Linked DNA regions of Callithrix jacchus. The protein of the gene in region 2 interacts with the protein of the main gene of each other region in a biochemical or structural test. Links are inferred from orthologs where the notes say so. Each region holds a gene or a part of one and is shown on either strand. Other genes may lie near its edges.

What was found. The genes of interacting proteins can lie anywhere in the genome.
Region 1: the proteins of IPO13 (region 2) and MAGOH form a complex in vitro, tested with the Homo sapiens proteins (2 studies listed by BioGRID and IntAct). The link is inferred for Callithrix jacchus from reciprocal best matches to the Homo sapiens genes IPO13 and MAGOH.

Annotation. Positions count from the first base shown.
Region 1 is NC_133508.1:90,378,460-90,382,696, reverse strand, and holds the start of MAGOH (protein mago nashi homolog), read left to right. Parts: upstream 1-1,362; 5' UTR 1,363-1,432; coding exon 1,433-1,520; intron 1,521-4,008; coding exon 4,009-4,067; intron 4,068-4,237. UniProt on the Homo sapiens protein: Required for pre-mRNA splicing as component of the spliceosome. Plays a redundant role with MAGOHB as core component of the exon junction complex (EJC) and in the nonsense-mediated decay (NMD) pathway.
Region 2 is NC_133508.1:80,629,010-80,632,653, reverse strand, and holds part of IPO13 (importin-13), read right to left. Parts: intron 3,525-3,644; coding exon 3,444-3,524; intron 2,908-3,443; coding exon 2,770-2,907; intron 2,612-2,769; coding exon 2,515-2,611; intron 1-2,514. UniProt on the Homo sapiens protein: Functions in nuclear protein import as nuclear transport receptor. Serves as receptor for nuclear localization signals (NLS) in cargo substrates.

The DNA of each region.
Region 1 (4,237 bases), about 9.7 Mb from region 2:
AATTGTTTCTTATAACAGTTCTGCTAGGTGTACATTATTACGCTCATTTAAAGAGAAGGAAACTGAAGTCTAAAAAGTTGAGTCAGTTCACCTATAGTTACAATGAGTCACTGTTACACAAGCGATTATTTTAACCCATCTCCAGTGATTTTCCCCCACCACACCTACTCTACACTCTGCTTCTAATGCTTTTTCAGGGAGAAAAGGACTCAATGTTAAGACTGGGGACAGGAATCAAGACTGCGGTCCTGTCTGATTCCTGTCCCCAGTTCTAGTTGCCAGGTCCCAAGAATGATGTCATCTAGGCACTGTCTCTAGAACCATTCGTTCTAAGCTGGAACTTAGATGAATGAAAGTAGGCTCCTATTATAAAATTATGATCTTGATTGCCCTGGGCCTACTCAACTGTACATTTTTTCAGAGCCAGAAAGGCTTCATAGAGGACAATCACTTTACCCTGAAAAGAGCGAGCCCCTTTGGTCAGTGGTCCTCAACTCTGACTCACCTGGGAGCTTTATAAAAAGTACCAATTCCCAGGCCCAGCGGTGGAGATTTTAATTGGCTTGGGGCCCTGGCATCAGTATTTTTAGAGGCTCCCAGGTGATTGCAATGCGCAGCCAGGCTGAGAATCACTGCTGAGTAAATGGGATGAGTAATGGGAGATCAAATACTCACTTTAACTTCTCAAGCACCTATTCTGGAGACCAGTGGGGTAGAAAGATAGAAATAAAAGGTAGAAAGGGATGCAATGGATAAGTGTGAGTGAATTAGTTCCAGGGAAATGGCAATCTCCACTGTGGATTCAGGGAGAGCGTCACTGAGGACGACTTTCTTTTTTTTTTTTTGAGACAGAGAGGACGGCTTTCTTAACATTCAGGTCAGTGGAAGCCAACTTGAGGCACATATCGTGCGCGGCGTCCTCCGAGGAGCTCGGGTCATTTTACCCCACTTTACTGCCGAGATGACCTAGGTGCAGAGACGGTAAAGAGCGGTGTACGATTCACACAAGTCGGAAGTCCTGTGAACTGAGGTTGAGCCTGGCGGGTGCAAGGCTCGGGGTGTTCGGCCCGAGGTCTTTAAGTGAGGTCTCTGAACTCCTCGTTCAAAGCCCAGAGGTTGGTGAGCGGTAGGCTCTCGGCCTCAGGCCTGGAGAAAACCCAGGGGGTTGAGGGGTCAAATCTCAACCTCGCTCCCGCGTCCAGCTGGAGGGACCGAGCTGCTCGGCCCAGCCTCCGGACTAAACAAAGTTCGTTACCCGTGTAGCAGTCTTTTGCCGCTTCCGGGCGAAGAGGTTAGCAAGAGTGAAACCCTCCACTACGCGACGTCGTGGTAACGTCACTTCCGCGCGCCGCCCCAAACGTCAGTGTCGGGCGCAGACCGCGGCGGTGCGGCTTTCTCTTCGAGGTTCCGTCTCGGTTGTCTTTTGCGAGCCATGGAGAGTGACTTTTATCTACGTTACTACGTGGGGCACAAGGGCAAGTTCGGCCACGAGTTCCTGGAGTTTGAGTTCCGACCAGACGGTAAAAGCAGCCTGTAGCCTGCCGGGAGCGGGGACCAGGGATAAGGGCGGGCTACAGGCTGCCCGGAGTCGGGAGGCGGAGGGTCGGAAATCAGTGTGGAAAGACAGGAGGAAGGGACTGAGACCTGTGCAGCGAGAATCTGAAAGGAACGCCCCTGTGTCTGCTCCAGGGTTTTTTTGTTTTTGTTTTTTTTTAATCCATTTAACCAGTGTTGACCTTACGCTCACTGTGTGCCAGGCTCTGTTCCACTCTTTGGGGAAACGGCAGCGAAGGTAGACAAACTTCCCCTCTCATGGAATTTGTGTTTTAGTGCCGGGAGAGAGATCATAAACAAAAAGATGATTCCAGATAGTAGTGAGTGATTAAAAAAAAAAAGGTAGAATAATTGCTGGATGGGCTGCTTTTAGATAGGTTGACCATTAGAGCTCTCTGTAAAGGGTATATTGCAGCCGATCCCTACTTAACAACAAGGACCCAGCCTTGTGAAGCTCAGGAGGAAGACCATTCCACCCAAAGGGATTGGCAAATGTCAAGGCTGCAGGGCGGGAATGAGCTAGGCATGCCTCTCAAGTGGTCAGTGTGGTTAAAGAGTGATAAGGTGAGAGATAGCAGGAGATGACGTCAAATAGGTAGGTAGGAGCCACACCTTGTAAGTCTTTAAAGACCATGGTAAAAGCTTTGGACTTGAAAGGTTTGTTGTTGTTTGGACTTGGAAGGGTTGTTGTTTGTTGTTGTTTTGAGATGGAGTTTCGCTCTTTTTGCCCAGTCTGGAGTGCAGTGGCACTATCTTGGCTCACTGCAACCTCCGTCTCCCGGGTTCAAGAGATTCTAAGCCTCCGCCTCCCGAGTAGCTGGAATTACAGGCACCCACCACCACACCCGGCTAATTTTGTATTTTTGGTAGAGATGGGGTTTCACCATGTTGGCCAGGCTGGTCTCGGACTCCTGACCTCAGATGATCCGCCCACCTTGGCCTCCCAAAGTGCTGGGATTGCAGGCGTGAGCCACTGCTCCCAGCCGGACTTGGAAGGTTTTAAACAGAGAAGAAATGGGATCTGTTCTTGAAAAAGCATTCTGGTTATTGGGTGCACAAGGGCAAGAGTGGAAACAGGGCTATTGATTAGGAGGAGACTGTTGCAGTTGTCAAGACAAGAAAGTTATTGGTTGGGACTACGGCAACAGTAGAAATGGAGAGGATGGTTTAGGAAACTGTTGGAGGCAGAAACAGTTGGACTTTGCTGATTGATAGGATCTTGTTGAGGGGGCACTGTGGTGAAGGAAAGAGGAATCAAAGATAACAGAAAACATCCACTAAGTGGGGCACAAAGATGAAACTGACAGGCCTCGACTGTGAGGGAGATAGATTTATAAGCAAACAGTGATGAAACAGTGTATTGGGTGTTGTGGTAAAAAGAAACAGAGGAGGCTCGCAGCAGAGAAGAGGCACCTAACCAAGCCAGAGGGTCAGAGAAGGCTTCCTACATAAAATGATGTGGGAGAAAGGGATGTGAGGAATTGGTTAGGAGACCAAGAGTCAAGAAGGCATTTTAGACAACATGCAAAGAGGCTGAAAACCAAAAAGTGCTTGGGATGTTTCAGACAGAATACCAAATAGTTTGACTCCAGCCATGTGAGAGAAGAATATTGCAGGAGTGAGGCTAGAAAAGCAGGCAGGGGCCAGCTTAGCTGTATGCCATGTTGAGGAGTTTGGATTTTACCAGGAAGGCAGTGGAAAGCCATTAACTGTATTAAAATATTAGAGTAACCCAATCTGATAGGTCTGTTACCACATCACCGCGTCCACCGTATGGACAGTGAACTGAATGTGAAGAAACTTGAGGCAGAGACACAACACAGAGGCTGTTGGATAAATTCATTTGGCTCATCTCACATGTATGTCTTCTAGTCTACGGCAGGAGAAGTCATGTCTTCTATTTACTTTTATCTTCCCCTCATCCCCACCATATACTCACATTAACCTATTACATGCACCCATGGACAAAGGGTCTGGTGTACCAAATATGCTCAGTGATAAAAGCAACAGCTTTTCCATCACAGAAATAGAGGGTGGCACAGTCACATGATAATATATGTAAACAGCATCCTACAGTTTTCAAAATGTTTTCACAACTCATTTGAGCCTCAGGAGGTCCTATGTACGGGTAAGTTATCAATTACTATGCCTGTTTTCAGGATATTAACCTGCAAAAATGTGATTTGACAATGTCAGAAAAGAGCCTGCTTGTGTTTATATCTCACCTGAGCTGCGTTTTGCAGTAGAGTGTCAGCTGTATATTTGGCTGTTTAAGCCTGAAGTGAACTGAAAAAGACTAGTATTGTTGATATACCATAAGAGTAAATAATAAATCTATTAGACACTTTGAGCAAGTTAGATACATTTTAGGGAACTGCTGATAGTCTTGGTATGTATTGATGCTTTTATTCATATGTTTTTATTATACATGGAATTTGTTTTTTGCCCCCACAGGGAAATTAAGATACGCCAACAACAGCAATTACAAGAATGATGTCATGATCAGAAAAGAGGTATGAGTCTTCTGCCTTCTGAGAGTCCTTCATTTGCTACATTTCAGCTTTTTGTCTTGCATTTTTTTGTTCTTTCTGGTAGTACTGAAAGGTAGAGAACAGGGAGAAAAACACATGTCTGTAGACAGCTTCTGGATTATTTCCCAAATCATCTTTTAGTTGGTATTTTT
Region 2 (3,644 bases):
TTATCTGAGGGCCCTGGAAAGGCTATGGCATCAGAGCCTGAGTAAGTGCCACCTCACTTCAATGGCCTTAGGGCTCTTGGTCTGGCCAAGGAAAAGAATCTATTCGGTCCACTTAAACCAGAGGACTCTTGCTTAGGTAGGGCAGTGCCCAGCATGCTATGGAATGGCCCAGCAAGTCACTAGCAGGGCCCATAGGAGGAAACAGTATCGTAAGGCCAAAAACAAGAGCCTCATCCCAGCAAAGCTCTTCCACATGGACACGGACTCAGCAGAGAGCCAAGCTCAGGGCTGAGGACTAGTTCCCATCATCTGGACATGCCAAGAAAGAGGGAAAGCAATCAATGTGTCATCCCATGGTCCAGTGGGAAGGCAAAGCCCGAGGAAGGAATGGCTAAGATTGGGATGGCATAACAGGTATAGAAGCCATCCTGTCCAGCAAGACAACCAACAAAGCCCAACAGATAAGATGTTGGACACTTCTGCCTCCAGTTCTGATGATTCCTGAGGCAAGAATATGGCATGCACCTGGAGCTCCTACCCAGGCTTCTCCACTCTGAGGAGGATGTGGTGCAAAACCATCTGCCTAAGACACCACTAAGTAGCTGTGTGATCTTGCGCAAGCCACAATGCTCAGTTTCCCCATCTGTAAAGCAGATAATCTCTGCCCTACTTCCCTCTCTAGGCTATGAAGAGCTGCCGACAAATAAAGCCTATCCCTTTGGTATCTGAACCCTGAGTTATTTAAGTCCGAGAAAGTGAGGCCCAATGTGCACCCTGCAGGTTTGATGTTCAGCAGCCACCCTGCTAGAGGTGGGCCAGACAGAGAGAAGGAAAGGTTCCAAGGGCAGAGAGCCCTTCCCCTCCTTTGTTTAACAGTGTCTGCAGCCTGCTGTATTCTGGCCTCATTCTGGGCACTGGGGATGCAGAGAGAAGAAACTCAACCCTGCCCTTGGAGGGGCTTAGTCTAGTAAGAGAGACAGACATTGAAAGCTGATTGTTGTGTGTGCTCAGTGCTGTGTCAGCAGTGTGTACAGGATGCAGTTTCGGTACAGTTAGAAGTACCCAATTCCACCTCTGAGAAATTACTCTGAGAAGTGATTCAGTCTTCCTCCTTTCTGAGACATGAAGGAGTGAGAGTTCACCCAGTAAAGGGCCTAGGACATTCTAGTCAGAGGCACAAGGCACAGGTATCAAATGGGACACAGTAAGGAAAGGGCAGTGTGGCTGGTATTTTGGAGTCATGAGGATGCCAGCAGGAGAGGACATTAGAGGCATGCCAGAGCCTTGTCATGTGGGTGGGAATGAAACAATAAGCTGAGGGCAATGGGAACAACGAAAGGGTTTTAAGCCTGGGAAGACAATTTATGAAGATTATAGCTGCAGTGTGCAGAACAGATTGGAGAGAAGGGGAGATGTCAAGAAAACCCGCTAGAAGGTTGTTGATAATCCAGGTGAGACCTTAAACGCAGGCAGTGGCCACGGAGGTGGGTAGAAGTGGGCCGACGTGGAGAGAATCAGGAGCCAGGATCGATGGGGCTTATCCTAGATTGGGTACAGGGAGTGGGAGAGGTGGAGTTGAGGATGACCACACCAGGTTTCTGGTTCAGGTTTCTCCCCAGTTTGGACTTACTCCATGGCCCACAGGAACAGAGGCCAGGATCATGAGACCACTGAGGTTATAAGCTAAGAGTATTCTGGGTACCAACTGAGGCCCCTGGTGAGCCTCAAACCTGTGACCATGAATCCAGGCAAGGCTCACGAGGCAGTGCTGTTTTTTTGTTTTTGATTTTCCAAATTGGAAGCCTGGATTAGACAACATGAGAAGCCTGAATAGAAGCCCCTGCTCCCAACTCTCTCAGGCAAAGGGTCACAGGGAATGGAGGGCTAGGTCTACAGCCAAAGGTACTTGACTTCTGGCCTAGAAAGGACTAAGCCTTGATGCAGGGAAAGGAACCAGCAGTCTCTGAGTACTTCATTGTGCAAAAGCCCCTGAACCAGGGGCCCAGAAGATGTGACTTTAATACCTGTAAACAATCGTTTCAAGTATATGGTATCTCCGTTTCACAGATATGGAAATGAAGGCTTAGCAAAGGTAAGTGACTTGCCCAAGGACACACAACTAGTTGGTGGTGATGAACTTAGAATCTGGGTCTAGCTGACTTCAAAAGCCCGTGCTCTTTCCTCTTTTCATTATATCCCAAAGTAAAGGAGCCCGCCTAGTGCCCCAAGCCCCTCAAGCCTCTGCCCACCTCCCACCCCCACTTCCTTCTTCCATATCCAGACTGGCCCTGAGCCCAGCAGGCCAGTAGAAGACATCATTCACCCTCTTATCCACTTCAACCTAAGGTTTCAACTATTTGTAAGGTGCTGTGCTTGATTACACAGGTTTCCCATCAAGTCCCACATGTGACTCAGGGGACAGAGAAGAACAAAGTGGGCAGCTTTGGCTCCCCATTTGGGGAAGCAGAGGCAGTGGCAGTGGCGGCAGCAGCAGAGACCCTGGTCAGGACCTACCTTGCTGGAAGAGAGTAAGTGTGACGGAGGTGACGAGCAGGAAGAGGGCCTCAATTGGGGGAAAGTGGGCAGGCTCATGAGCAAAGATGTGGACCAGCTACAACAAAGCAGGGAATGCTGGTCAGCTGAGACCCAGTCTCACTGGAATGCAAGTGGGGCAGTATCCCTGGAATGCAAGTGGGTACCCCAGACACAGCAGCTACCTGACCCACCCCCACCCAGGGTTAGGATTTCTGCCCCAATCAGAAGGCCCACCTGTCGAGTGAGGTCAAGAGCAGAGGCCTGGGGGATGGTGCTGTACATCCGACCCAGCATCTCACACAGCTGTGGCACCATGGGGGCAAAGTCATCCAGCAGCGTCTTAACCGACTTCTCAAAGATAGCGCACACCGCCTTGGAAAGAAAGCAAAGGGACCCTGGTCAGCAGGTCACGATTAACTGGAACAGCGCTGAAGCCCCGCAGAGCGGGCCTAAGATCGGGCCCTTACCTATAAGCCTTGCCGGGGCTGCAAACCAAGGACGGTAAGCAAGTCTGACCCTTATTCTGGCAGGGGGCAAAGGCCCTTCACTGAGGGGCACAGGATGGAACTGTGGAACTTAACTCCTGCTACTTACATCTCCACCATTTCCTCTCAGGGAGCAGCAATGGCAACAAAAACCTGAACTGAAAACGGACCAAAGGCAGGTTTCTGATGCCAAAACAGATGGCTGGCTGTCACTCAACCCTAATATTACAGTCCCTGAGTTAAGCATTTCTCACGATACTGGAGAGTTCTGAATGACTTCCCAAAAGATTCCTTATCTCTATGCGGCAGGATTTACCTCCCCTGTTTTCTCCAAACCATTGCAAAGTGAAACATGGCAACATCTTACTCCTGCTACACCTCCAAGAAGTAACTATGGAGCAGAGGGCAAGGGCCAGGGCTCACCTCCACCACCTGGGCATCATTCAACCATTTGCTCAGCACCTTCTGGATAAGCTGGAAGACCTGCTGCAGCACCACCACCACCTGAAGACACAGGAAGAAGTGAGGTGCTTCTGCTATCGATCACTGTGACCCACTTGAGAAGGACTTGGTAGCAGGGAGGAGGGGAATTCAAACCTATTACCCCAGAATGCATATTGAGGA